Notamacropus eugenii: one gene and its partners. The protein of the gene in region 2 purifies or fractionates together with the protein of the main gene of each other region. This does not show direct contact. Links are inferred from orthologs where the notes say so. Each region holds a gene or a part of one and is shown on either strand. Other genes may lie near its edges.

Evidence for each region.
Region 1: the proteins of AP1S2 (region 2) and AP1G2 purify together in Homo sapiens (affinity purification with mass spectrometry; 3 studies listed by BioGRID and IntAct, counting the BioPlex papers as one, with this or other methods). This does not show direct contact. The link is inferred for Notamacropus eugenii from reciprocal best matches to the Homo sapiens genes AP1S2 and AP1G2.
Region 3: the proteins of AP1S2 (region 2) and AP2B1 purify together in Homo sapiens (affinity purification with mass spectrometry; 3 studies listed by BioGRID and IntAct, counting the BioPlex papers as one, with this or other methods). This does not show direct contact. The link is inferred for Notamacropus eugenii from reciprocal best matches to the Homo sapiens genes AP1S2 and AP2B1.

What each region holds. Positions count from the first base shown.
Region 1 is NC_092878.1:9,585,237-9,589,513, reverse strand, and holds the start of AP1G2 (AP-1 complex subunit gamma-like 2), read right to left. Parts: upstream 2,905-4,277; coding exon 2,701-2,904; intron 1,492-2,700; coding exon 1,367-1,491; intron 1,214-1,366; coding exon 1,072-1,213; intron 930-1,071; coding exon 833-929; intron 558-832; coding exon 481-557; intron 360-480; coding exon 264-359; intron 1-263.
Region 2 is NC_092876.1:374,168,137-374,172,413, reverse strand, and holds the start of AP1S2 (AP-1 complex subunit sigma-2), read right to left. Parts: upstream 2,644-4,277; 5' UTR 2,615-2,643; coding exon 2,570-2,614; intron 2,214-2,569; coding exon 2,035-2,213; intron 1-2,034. UniProt on the Homo sapiens protein: Subunit of clathrin-associated adaptor protein complex 1 that plays a role in protein sorting in the late-Golgi/trans-Golgi network (TGN) and/or endosomes.
Region 3 is NC_092873.1:307,739,437-307,743,713, reverse strand, and holds the start of AP2B1 (AP-2 complex subunit beta), read left to right. Parts: upstream 1-1,491; 5' UTR 1,492-1,573; intron 1,574-4,277. UniProt on the Homo sapiens protein: Component of the adaptor protein complex 2 (AP-2). Adaptor protein complexes function in protein transport via transport vesicles in different membrane traffic pathways.

The DNA of each region.
Region 1 (4,277 bases), on a different chromosome or scaffold from region 2:
GGGAAGGCCAGATGGGACCTGTCACCTCTTTAAAGTAAACCTAATCTACTTTCAAGGTCCTCGAATTGCTTGTCATTGGGATTCTGGGGAGCCAGGACAGATTGAGGCTGCTGTGGGCCTCATTTGCCTGCCACTCCAATGCTCACAACCTGACCAGAACCACACTCTTTTTAGAATAGTAGTTATAGCTGGGTTCTTTTCCTTGTCTCGAGACACAGGAGGGACAGAGGAGAGAGATTATGATGCCAGGGTCAGGTCCGCACCTGCAGGAAAGGGTCACTGACCCCAGCAACGCTATGCTCTGGTGAATATCCCGACATCACCAGAGTCCGAAGGATCTGCACCAGCTGGGGTACAACCTGGGGATGAGAAGAGTTTCACATAAGGACACAAGAACGCTGTACCCCCAGTCACACCCCCATACTATCAGTACTTTGTACTTTTCTGCCCTGGGAGTTTCCTGATTCTTTCTTGACTCACCTGTCTGAAATGTGTGAGGGCAGCAGGGCTTCGCTCACAAAGCTCTGTGATCAGTGTGATCGTTCCCATCAGGATACCTAGTTTCAAGGAGCAGGAGAGAGGGGGAGGAAGGAAATTAAATCAAATGGAGTCAGAGGAAAACCTATTTGAAACCTGCCCTGCTAACCTGTTTGGCTCAGGAAATGACAAGCCTCACCTTTCACCTCTGTACCCTGGGCCATGTCACTCTTCTATGACCCATATCCAGAGTTGCAAAAGGAGACAGAACAGTGTAGGAAGGAAGGGTGGCAGGTTCACGTGATGCTATTAACAGTGAGGATGAAAGGAGCTCCCTGCGCAAGAGAGTTCTTACCATGGTGGCGTTCATGCAGCAGCTGGGTACAGGGTGGGAGAAAGATGTCAGAGAGCTCAGGGACCTTCCGGATCATGTGCACTGCAGCCAGCACTGCCTGAGGGAGTGGGGGAGGAAAGAGGGGCACAGGCCAGAAGAAGCCACTGTAAGGGCACAGTAATATCAAACCCAGATTTGGGAGTTTCAAGGAAGAATTTCTTGAAGGTAAATGCATCAGAGGACCTTCCATCCTGACTTACCTTCTTTCTAATGTAAGGACTGGGCCTCAGCAGCAACCTCTCCACTTCATTGGCCAGGTCCCGGCACATCTCTGCTGAGCCCATGTTGCTTAGGGTACATAGTGCCAACCCCTGCACTGGCTGGGTCCCTTGGCTCAGGTCACTGCAGGGGTTGCCAAGATTGGGAAATGCCCTAGGAATTGAGTTCTTCCCTCCCACAGATGCCTCTCATCTCTGTCTTTTAGGGCTCATCTACTATCTAGGGTTTGAGAATCCTCCAAACTCCCGAATATATTGTTTCCCCCAACCTCCTCACTTTTTAATGCTGTTGGTTATGAGCAGGTGGGCATCCTGCCTCTCATCCAGCAGCAGCATTGCCCCCAGGTAGCCCACCCTTTTGTCTGTGAATCGGGGTGATGCGATCAGCTTCAGGCACTCCATCTATAGGAAGACAGGAGAGGCCGAGGACCAGAAGGAAGAGTGAGAGGGACCCGAGATCGTGTAGCCTCGCTCCATTCCCCTCCCTAACATTTAAATTAACCTTCTATACTATTCAGTATAGAGAAAGTGGAATAGTGCCAAAACAGGGCAGGAAATGGAAACGATCCCCTTAGTTTCAGTGTGAGTTTCACTGTTAGGTTCTAGGATCTAGGCCTGGAAGAGGCCTTTAAAAACTATCTAATTTATTTTGCCTGGGATAGTTAGACAACCTGTATATATGATATACATAGAAGACTGAGAGAATTTTACTGGTGTGTGTTTAGATATGTAAAAGAAGGAGGTTCTTGAGATCTTCGGGGAGATAGGCTGTGGGGATCTCATTTCAAGCACCCAATTAATGTTAGTTGAATCAATGAAGAAAAATAGGCAGTCCTAGGGATGGGTTTTAGCTGAAATGGCCTATCCCTCCTGAGAGCATGAACTTGTGTGTATGGGGCAGGGAAAGAGAGAGTCCCTGGGAAGGTTTGAGCTGAGGATTGATCCTGGATGGCATGGGTGTGCCACCCTGCCTCTGGTGAAGTTGTGAGTCAAAAGGAGTCCCTGGGAAATCTTGGGGTCTAGGCAGCAGGAGACAGCTGGAGTTGAGTATTCCAGATTATTTGGGATTTTGGGGGAGGCTTTTAATTTTTTTTCTTTACACAAATAACATTTTTTAAAACCTAACTAGTTGAAAGATTTGTAGGAAATATGATTCTCAAGGTAAGGTAAGCTGCCTTCATTTCATCTAATATAGCAGACAGTTTAACACTAATGGTTTTTAAATCAATACTTTCAATTGTAAATATGTTAGGATGTAGAATTGTATATACATATGGTTTAGTAACTCTCATCTGAAAGATAAACCGGAACTGCTGGTCTTAGCCTGCTGTCTTACTCATTTACATCAGAGGAGGGGTCACTTGGCTGCAATGATCAGGGTGTGAGGCTGTGTGTGTAGGGGGGTCCTTGGGAAATCCTGGGGTCTAAGCAGCGGAGGACCGGATGAGGGGTCACCCGATTGCAGTGGCTGTGCTCCTGACCGGGGTGTGAGCCTGTGTCTGTAGCGGGGCGTCCCTGAGAAGGAAGGGCTCCCGCTGTGCACAGCAGGGAGTCCTGGCAGAGCTGAGGTGTGGATGGTTCCCGCTAGGGGCGCGGTGCCCGGTGGGGTACCTGTCCAAAGTGGGCGGGATAGCCCAGCATGTGGACGTAGAGGAGCTTGGCGAGCTGGCGGTGGCGCTGGGGGGCATCGCCCTCGCGGAAGGCGGCCCGGATGTGGGCGCACTCCTTCTGGATGACCTCCCGCTCCTGGGCCTGAGTCCTGGCCCCGCGGATCTCCTGGATCAGCTCCTGCAGCTTCAGGGAGGGCAGCACCATCCTGGCCGGGCGGGGCAGGGCTGCGGGCCGGCTGGAGCTTAGCGACCGCGGGCCGGCCGCCTCGGCCCCGCCCTCGCCCCGCCCACCGGGCTCCCCCCGCCCGCAGCCCATAGGCCAGGAGCTCCCCACCCCCTCCACCTGCGGGGCTCTGGCTCCACCCCCCTCGCAGGCGCTCCACCCCCCTCGCAGGCGCTCCTCACCGCGCACGCGCCCTCCCTGCTCTCGCTTCCCTTCCCTCCCCAGGCCTGCGCACCCCTCGAGCCCCTCCCTTCTCCCGATGCCCCAACTGCGCATGTGCGGAGCCTCTCCCTATTTCCCCGCCCCGCCCCACCCTGCTGCCCCACAGCCCCGGCTCCAGACACCTGGTCTTCACGCTTCCCACCTGTCCCCCTCCCCGCAGCCTCCGAGCTTCGCGGATCCTGCAGCCCCCGGTCCCTCCCTCGTCAGACGCTCGTGGTCTCCGGCGGCCCAGCCCGGACAGCCCGCGCGCGTGCGCGCACGCAGCAGCCCCCAGCTCACCCGAGCCTGGCCTCGGCAGCTCCACTGGTGTGCGGGCTTCCTGGTCCGAGCCGGGCGGGGCGGCTCCCTACCTGGGCCTGCCCCCTTCCCGCCCCACCTCGCCCTCGTCCCGGCCCGGCCTTCAGCCTTCCGGGGCTGGGGCGGCCGCATCCCAGCCCTCCCTGGCCGTGTGGCCCTGGGCCGGTCCCTTTACCGCTGCCTGCCTCAGTTTCCTCTTCTGTAAAATGGAGATAGTAGCTCCCATCTCCGAAGCAGTGTTTGTAAAGTGCTGTGCGGGTCTGGAGTTACAGACGTTATAAATTGATAAACAAAAAAGCACAGATGTTATGGGTAGGACCCAGCCCCCTTCAGCTCCTCCATGCACCTGGCTCTGCCCCGAGCACGTGGGACTCGATGGGTGTGATGGAGCAAAGGCAGACTGGAGGTCTGGGGGTCCCCAGCCACCCTCCCCTGATGTGTGGGTTCAGCCCCCCCCCCCAATTTTCCCTCCATAAGATCTTACCCTTGGGGCACCAAAACTGACCAAGGGAGGAGATAGGCGGTCTTAGGGTAGAATGGTCTGAATCCCTCACACCTCAAAGGAGATGACTGCCCCCCCTTTTTTTAAACTTTTTTATTAATATATTTTTTGTTAAATTTATTTTTTTTCTGCAAGACTTGGTGTGAGCCGAGATGTTTGACTTCGATCCCAAATCCACGAAGTAGAAATTTGAAGTAAAGTCTTAAGAAGGGAAGGAAGTGGACCAGGTAGAAAATAGCCTGGCCAGAAAAAAAGAAGAGGGGGGGGGGCATTCCCAGGCATGGACATTCTTTGGGGAAGGGGGATAATGGGCAGCTTGCCTCTCTGCCTCATG
Region 2 (4,277 bases):
CAATTGGATGCTTTCTCCCTAACTTTCAATAAAGTTATTATTAATAAGACCAAACTATCTGGAAAGCGCATTAAATTGGTATTAAAGAGACCTGAGTTCTTCATAACTTGGGCAAATCTCAACAATGTCATTCTATGAACATTTATTAAGGCACTATAGTAACCTAGGCCTGGTGATACAAAGACAAAAAAGAAACAACTTGTAGAGGTTTCAGTTTCCTCATCTGTACACTAAGTTGGGAGGCAGAAAGAATGGACTGGATGATTTCTAGGGTCCCTTCCATTTCAAAATTCTATTCTTTCTAAATAATACTGCTTACAAAAGGTCAGAACTGATCACTAAATCCAATTTTTACAAAATAATATGAATGCAGTTTTACTTTCCTCTAAATTCATCTACCACTAGTTTTGAATTGCTTTTTATACAATCTTAAATGCTTAAAAAAGAGAAGGAATGGAGAAAATTGATCTTTTTTCCCTTTCTGATTTCAAAACTTTATATTATCAGTTCTTTTTTTCCATATTACAAAATGTTTGTCTAATACTGAAATATTTCTTTTTTATTCTGCTCAGTAAAGTTATTTTACTTCATAAGAATGAAATTATTAAAGGAAAAGAAACAAGGTGAAATCAACACCCCAAATCAAAGTCTACAGATTAAAAATAATTTATTTCACAGTTATGAGAAATATTACTTTCGTTTCAATATAATTATACTACTATACTTTCCACAGAAGTAAATGTTACTATTAAAAAATATATTTCTCATCGTGTTATAAAGAGTAATTTTCAGTTGTTATTTCATAGAGATCAAACTTCAACATCTTCCTATGATGAAACTACTTCGTAACTCGCCACATTTTTGATATTGCAAAACGTGCATTAACTTTGTTAATAACAAAGTGGGCTTTGTCTCAAATAAACAAGAATTTTAAACATCAATATGACTGAAAAGGCTTAGATATAAGATGTGTGACAAAAATCAGTCTCAAATGATCAGCTTGCTTTTATGTCAAGTGCTGTAACTATAAACCCAAAAAGGTTCCGGCCTTCAATGAACTTACATTCTACGGGGGAGACAATATGCATGTGTCTAAGTATTGACAAAATACATAAAAGATTCTTTTTTCCCTCAGGAAATAGGAAGGGAGAAATGAGCAACCAGGCAGGGTTCAGGAAAGACACAATTTCAAGATGCAAAAGTGAGAAAAGTATGAACCCCAGGTATTTTGGGGGCTGGAAGAGACAGGTATGGAAGCAGGCCTTAAATAATGCTGTATGTAAGCAAAAGCAAGGCCAGTTTGACTGGACCTACCTACGGGTACATGAAAGAAGAACATGTATAATTAACCAGGAAAGGTAGGTTAGAGTCAGATTTTGAAAAGCTTTTTAAACACAAACCAGAGTTTAAATCTGATGCTCAGTATTTTAGTTACCTGTCTAGGCGAACCTCAGTGAAAATTATTATTCCAATTTTACTAACCAGATGACATTTTAAAAAATGCCTAAACTAAACAGTGTATACTAGTGGGTTCAAATCCCATTTTGGACATTTAATACCTATGTGATAATAAGCAAGGTATGTCTTTTCAAAAACCTCAATAAAATATAGGTAATAGTTGTCCTACCTACCTTAGAGGGTTGTTGAAGAAAAATAGCTTTGCAGCTCTTAAAATGCTATTTAAATGTGAGTAATGATTATTTACTTTTTCTAAAAGTTAATATGTATGAAGACTTAATAAATTTATAAATGAGTATACTCATCATTAAAGCTATTTTTAAGCTTTGAAAGAATCATCTATTAAAAGTATTTCCTGATTTGTCATTTCAATTCTGCATCAAAGGAGGCATATTATAGTTTACTTCATCTAAGGTTTCATCACTTTAAGTCTACTTTAAGAATTTCTAATTACAAAAGTGGTCTTCCTCTTTGTATAATTGTCCGTAAGTCACTTTTCATTCATATTTGACTACTATTATGAACTAAATAACATTTGGTCTCCTACTGCAACTTTCTGAAAAATGAAAATTATACCTTTTGTAGACAATCTTCAGATCTCGCCACTCCAAAAAACTGCACATTTTGGGTTTACGGGCTAAAACTGTTTGAACAAGTTCTCTTGTGATTTTTTTCTTTTCTTTGTCCGACAGTGGAACATACCATTTCTGGAGTCGGAGCTTTCCTTGACGACTAAAAAGCAACATAAACTGCATCTGGTAAAATAAACAAATCAAATCTTATTTTCAGATTCTACACACACTGAGATAAAGCTACATTTTTTCAATGTAGCTTTTAACAAGCTCCATTATAACAGAACAGAGAGAAAGTAAATTGATACATGATTATCATAATATCCACACTAAATTAAAAAATAAAAATAAATCATTCACAGAGCTGTCTCTCTCACACACACAAACTCAGAAATGCAATTGAAAATTTAAAAATTATTATAATTATGGTTAGAGCAGGAAACCATCACCTTTGATACGCTTTAAAGAGGCAAAGAATAACATGTTTTAGTAACATTTGATGTAGTCATATAAAACATGTTTGTTTTCTCTTATAATACCTTATTTGTCCCAACCGGATGGCACTTTTCAAGACAAATTAACATTTCAGTTGGTATCTTTTAACAGAAATAAAAATATGAAAGATCAACCATACTTTCAGACAAAATTTCTCTTCTCATATTCATTTTATAAAAATTCAAAACAACACACACTGTGCCAAACTGGGGCATGACTGTATTATCAAAATCAAAATCATATATACACAAATGCTACCTTTTAAAGTATTTGATATTTGTATGCTTAGTTAGGGTCTGCAAATAAAATTGTGACCATTTAAAAATTTATTATTTCAGGAAAACTTATTTTAGTTAAACTTGACTTTTAAACTACAAATAAGGAAATACTGAATAAATGAAATAACATATTTCATATGTAATTTTTCAATATCTTTTTTATAGTCGTGTTAACATTTCAAGTACAATTGTAATTCTGGATTTTTCCCCTAACATTCATAATATGCTGACTTTTTAAACATATTTCTTTATTGTGAAATGGGCCCTTTCTCGATTTTGTAAAAAATAATTTGCAAAATTATAAATAATCAAATATGTCTTACATTTTTGACTGGGTTAATCTTATTCAACCAATTAAAACCTAAGTCAATCCTCCCTCATTTAACAAAACACAGTCCAACAGTCCATACGCATTTATTAAACGCTTACTATGAGTCAAGTATTGGGCTAATAACATTAATACACTTTTCCACAGATCTCAAAGCTCCTCACAAAGGAGGACTGCAATATATTTATGAACCGCTTACTGTAGGTCAAGCACTACGCTAATGGAAATACTTTTCCAAGGATCTCAAAGCTCCTCCCAAACGAGGACGACACCACAACGTATTTATTAATTCAATCATTGGGCTAATAATACAAAGACTGTACACCTTTCCACGTAAAAGAAAACTGACGGACTCTGTCCAATCTCAAAGCGGCTGAAGAACTAGGAATAGAACGGATTCCATTTCCCCAGATCTTGTGTTATTGAGACGCAAAGTGCAGACTGCCCGCTGGAGGGAGGGGGAGCCCGTGGCCACAACTCCGACTTCTCACGTTGGATGAATCACTTATCCTCCCATAAGACGAGTTACCTGAAAATCTGGGGCTCTACCTGCCCGAGCCTCGGTGAAACCAACCCCCGGGACCTTAAATAAATACATAAGGCGAAAGGCAGAGGAAGAGTGCTTTCCAGGGGGCGGGCAGGGCTGCCTGTTAGACTGAGGATGGCCAAGACGCTCCTGGAGTCACAGCTCTCCTTTAGTCAGAAAAGACGCTCCAGGAGCGCCAGGCAGGGAGGGCGAGAGGGGAAGGGGAGAGACAATGGCCCGCGGCCGCGCTCCGTGCCCCTCGCGAGGACCCTACTTCCCCCTGCCCGGGTCCCCCGACTCGCCATCCCTGGGCAGGGAAAGTCCATTTCGGCCAGAGACAATCCATCTCCTCTGCCCGCCGGGAGAGGGCGAGCGGACAGAGGGGAATCCCCTCCTGCCGGGGGCGCCAGGAAAGGACCCCGAGTTAGGTAAAGCGACTCCGCTCGCTCCTCGCCACGAGTGCCCGAGACAACCCAAACACAACAATCCCCCCCAAAAGGGAGCAGGATTAAGTCATGCGTCCGCTCCCCATCTCTTCTCCGGGATGGAAGCTGGAGGGAGGCTTGAGGGGGTGCACCGTGTACCACCCCACCCCCCCTGACGGGTCACCTTAGGGGTGC
Region 3 (4,277 bases), on a different chromosome or scaffold from region 2:
TCAATTAGGTTTTGCAATTGGGGCAATTGAGCAGTTATGCTTGGAGAAGGAGGTGCTCTTAGTTAGGTTAGGTTTAACATTCTTCTTTGGGGAGAAAGATAGACACCACCAGGCTGCTCCCAGGGAAACTGTCCATTCATCTCTAGTCATCAGACCATTTGATAACTACTATTAGTTAATTAATAACTAATAAAAAACTGATAACTAATAAAAGTTAGTTAATAATTAACTAGCTATTCTTGATAAAGAGGTGCTATTGTAATTATTTCTACATCTTGGCATCTAAGAAGCATGATTACTGGGTGGAGATGGGGGTGAGGGTGAGGTAGGGGTGAGGGTGGGGGTAGAAGAGAGAAGTGGTAATCCTTACAGAAAATAGATGCTCTTGGGGAGGGGGCTGAAAGGGGGCTTTGAAGGCAACCTCTCCAAAGACTTCCATTATCCTAAAGCATCATTATAGACCTGGGAAAGTCTTTAAAGACCACCTTGTCCATCTTCTTTATTTCAGAGAGAAGACAGAGCCTCGTGTTTGTTATCTCCAATTTGGCTTGTAGATATTTTTGTACATAGGTGAAAGAATGAGTATTTATTAAGCACCTACTACATCCCAGACACGATGCTAAGAATTTCTTACATCTCATGTGATCCTCACAACAATCCTGTGAGGTGGGTACTTGTATTAGCCCTATTTTACAGCTGAAGAAACTGAAGCAAACAGGGTTAAGTGACTTGTCCAGGGTCACACAGCGAGTATCTGCGGTCAAATTTGAACTCAGGTCCACCTTCATCGAGATGGAGAATTGGATAGAGTGCAGGACCTGAAGTCAAGAAGACCTGAGTTCAGATGTGACCTCAGACACTCTCTGTGTGACCCTGGCCAAGTCACTGAACCTTGTTTGTCTCAGTTCCTCATCTGGGGAAGGGGATGGCGAACCCCTCCAGGATTTTTACCAAGAAAGCCCCAGGGGGTCCCAGAGAATCAGACACCACTGGAAAACAGTGACTTCGGGATTCCAGGTCCAGTGGACCTACTAGCTGCCAACACAGTCGTCTGCACGCGGTTTCCCTGGAGAGCTGGGGCTGTCTTAGGGCAGTTGGGGGCACACAGTAGATGCTTAATCAATGCCCATTGACTTGACTTGGCAGGGAAAGGACTAGAATCAGCCAGATTGTTGAAATCCCGCCTCCATGGTCGTTGATCCTGGTCACATTTAGAATATAAATAAAATAATAAATAAAACAAATCCATGAATAAATGAAATGAAATGAAATTGTGCAGGGGGCGTGGCCTGGAGACCTCGGGGGGGGGGGCTTTTAGGCCCGCCTCCATCCCCGCCTCCTTGGGGGCCGGACTCCCCAGCCAGAAGCTCGGGGATGGGCTACGGAAGCGGGATCAAGCCAAGCAGACTGAAGACAGCAGAGTGGGTGGAGGAACTCCAGCGTGGTAGGCGGGACCGACGCCTCACGTGACAGGTCTGCTAGGTCCCGATTGGCTGTCCCGCCGGAAACGGCTCGCCGGTGGCCGCGTCTGCGCAGTGGCGAGGAGCTCCGGGCGTTCTGCGAGGAGCCGGGGGTGAGTTGCGGCGCGTTGGGCCGCCCTAGTGCGCGCGGCGTCGCTGCCTGGTTCCGCTGCCTGGATCCCTTCTCCTCTTCATCCCTCCCCTCCTCGGGGCTCACGTGGCCGGGTGTCGCGGGCCCGCCCGCAGAGGCTTGGTCAGATTCAGAGGCTGCTCACGCGGCGCTTCTGCCTCCGCGGTTCCAGGCCGGGCTCCGGGGCTCGTGGGGGCCCCCTTTCTCCCCGTACTCCCCCAAGCCTTGAGAACCCTGAGGGCAAGGATCGCCCGAGTTCTCCGACCCGGGCACCTTGGCTCCGCGTCTGGCGGCCGGCCCGCGCACGAGGATTTCTGAGCTCGGTGATCGGGGTGGGGACAAGCGACCTACTGAGCGCGGCGTTTTCTTTGTAATCCCTCTTTTATCTCTTACGTTTAAAAACTCGGGTAAAGATCCGCGGCGCGCAGAGGCCGAAGAACCAGTGCCCTCCCCCTCTTCCGATCCCCGGTCTGTGGGCAGAGCGGGAAACTTCACGGCTGGAGGCCCTCAGCCACCCATAGGCACGTAATTGTCACTGTGGATAGACTGGGGAACGTCGGGTCCGGAAGACCTGAGTTTGCATCCTGCCTCGGACACTCACCGGCAGAATGACCCGGGAGGAGTCATTTAACTTCTCTCAGCCTCAGTTTCCTCCCCTGTAAAATGGCACGCAGTTCACCAGGGTGAGGTGAGGATGAAATGATACAGCATGTAGAAAGCGTGTCGTAAACCTTCAGTGCTGTGTAAACGCAAGCTGTCATCATGGGCGAGATTTTTTATATCATCTTTTTCTGACTTGTAAGAGAGCTTTGGGTAAGGAATTTTCTCTACCCGTGGAGATGAGCTACTCCGACTTACATGCCTCCTAACGACACTAATTTGAGTGAAGTGACTCACCCAGGGTGATGAAGCCGGTGTGTATCAAAGTGGATTTGAACCTTCCTGGTTCTGAGGCTGTCTGTACTACTCTGAGGTGCCTCAGCATTCTGTGATCTTAGGATCCCTTTTACAAAGTGAGACAGCCCCTACCTACCCCCAAGGGAGGGGTTTCACCATCCTCCCAGTCACTCAGGCTCACAACCTGGGGTGTGTGTCATCCTCAACCCCCCTCTCTCTCACCCTCACCATATCCAGTCATTCCCAACTCCTGTCATTTTTACCTTCATAAGATCTTTCTTATGCTTTCTCCTTTCTAATGACAGTGTCACCTCTCTAGAGCAGGCCTTCATCACCTCCTGCCTGGGCTATTGGAATAGCTTCCTGGTGCCTCTGCCTGCTTCAGGTCTCCCCACGCAGCTGTCAAAATGATTTTCCTTAAGTGCAGGTCTGACCAGATCACCACCCATATTCAGTAAACTCTGTCATCTCCCCCATCAAGTATAAAATCCTCTTTTTGGCTTTCAGAGCCCTTTATAACCCACCCCTCAGGCACCACCATGGACACACCACTCCCTTCCCCCACTGTCCTTTTCCATCCAGTGACACTGGCTGCCTCGCTGTTCTCTGCACAGGACTCTGCATCTCCCAGCTCTGGGCATTTTCACTAGATGTTTCCCACCCCTGAAATGCTCTTCCTCCTCCTGTCTTGCCCCTCTGACTTCCTTCAGGTCTCAGCTAAAGAAACCTTCCCTGATTACCCTTATGCCAGTGCCTTTCCTTTGTTGGTTCTTTCCTATTTATCCTCCCCATGGCTTGTCTGCACATAGTTGTTGGCTTGTGTCTCCCCCATTAGATAGGGACTGTTTGTCTTTCTTTTGTATCCCCATTACTTAGCACATGCCTGCCAGAGAGTGGGAGGTTAATGCAAGCTTGTTGATTTGACATTCTGCTATATGTCCCTCTTGTCTCCCTCTATATTTTCTTGGTTGTTTGACCCATTTCCAGGAATTCAGTTACCACCTATGCAGATGACTCCCAGATCTGATTAGGTCTGATCTCTGTCTGGGCTTGTGTAGCCTCCTGGATGTGGTCAGTACTTCCAGCTCCAACTTCTACCCCTGTGCTTTGGCATAGCCAGGCTTCCATTTCTGGAACATGTTCTCTCTTCATCTCGTTGTCTTCTCCCAGAAACCTTTCTTACTCATAGTTGCTAATGCTGTCTCCACTGTTTACTTAACCAGTGGCTATTTTATTCTGCGGTAGAACACAAGTCCCTTTAGTTTTTGTATCTTCATCCCTGTTCTTCTCTGAGATAATAATGAAGGCATACTGCTCGGTTTCTTGATAGCATGCACTTAACATTTATTGAATTGTCTTCCCTTCAAAACCCACCTCTCCCAAGTGACAAAATCTACCTCTCTCCTCCCTGTCACCCATAGGTGTTAACTTTATGGTCATCTTAGTGACTGCTAGCAGGGTTCTGTAGTATATAGAGTGTTGGGCCTGGAGTCAGGAAAACCTCAGTTCAAATCCAGCCTCTGACACTTACTAGCTGTGTGACCCTGGGCAAGTCACTCAACCTTGGTTGGTTTCCTCATCTCTGAAATGAGGATAATAATAGTACTTACCTCCCAAGGTTGTTGTGAGATTCATACGGGATAGTTTGTAAAGCATTTAGGATGGCACTTTGCACTAATAGGTCCTTAACAAAGGCTTGCTTCCTTCTTTCATCCTTGATTCCCTTTTCTCCCCTGCTCCTACATTTCTAATCAGCTGTCAAATCATGTTAATTTTATTTAATTTATTAT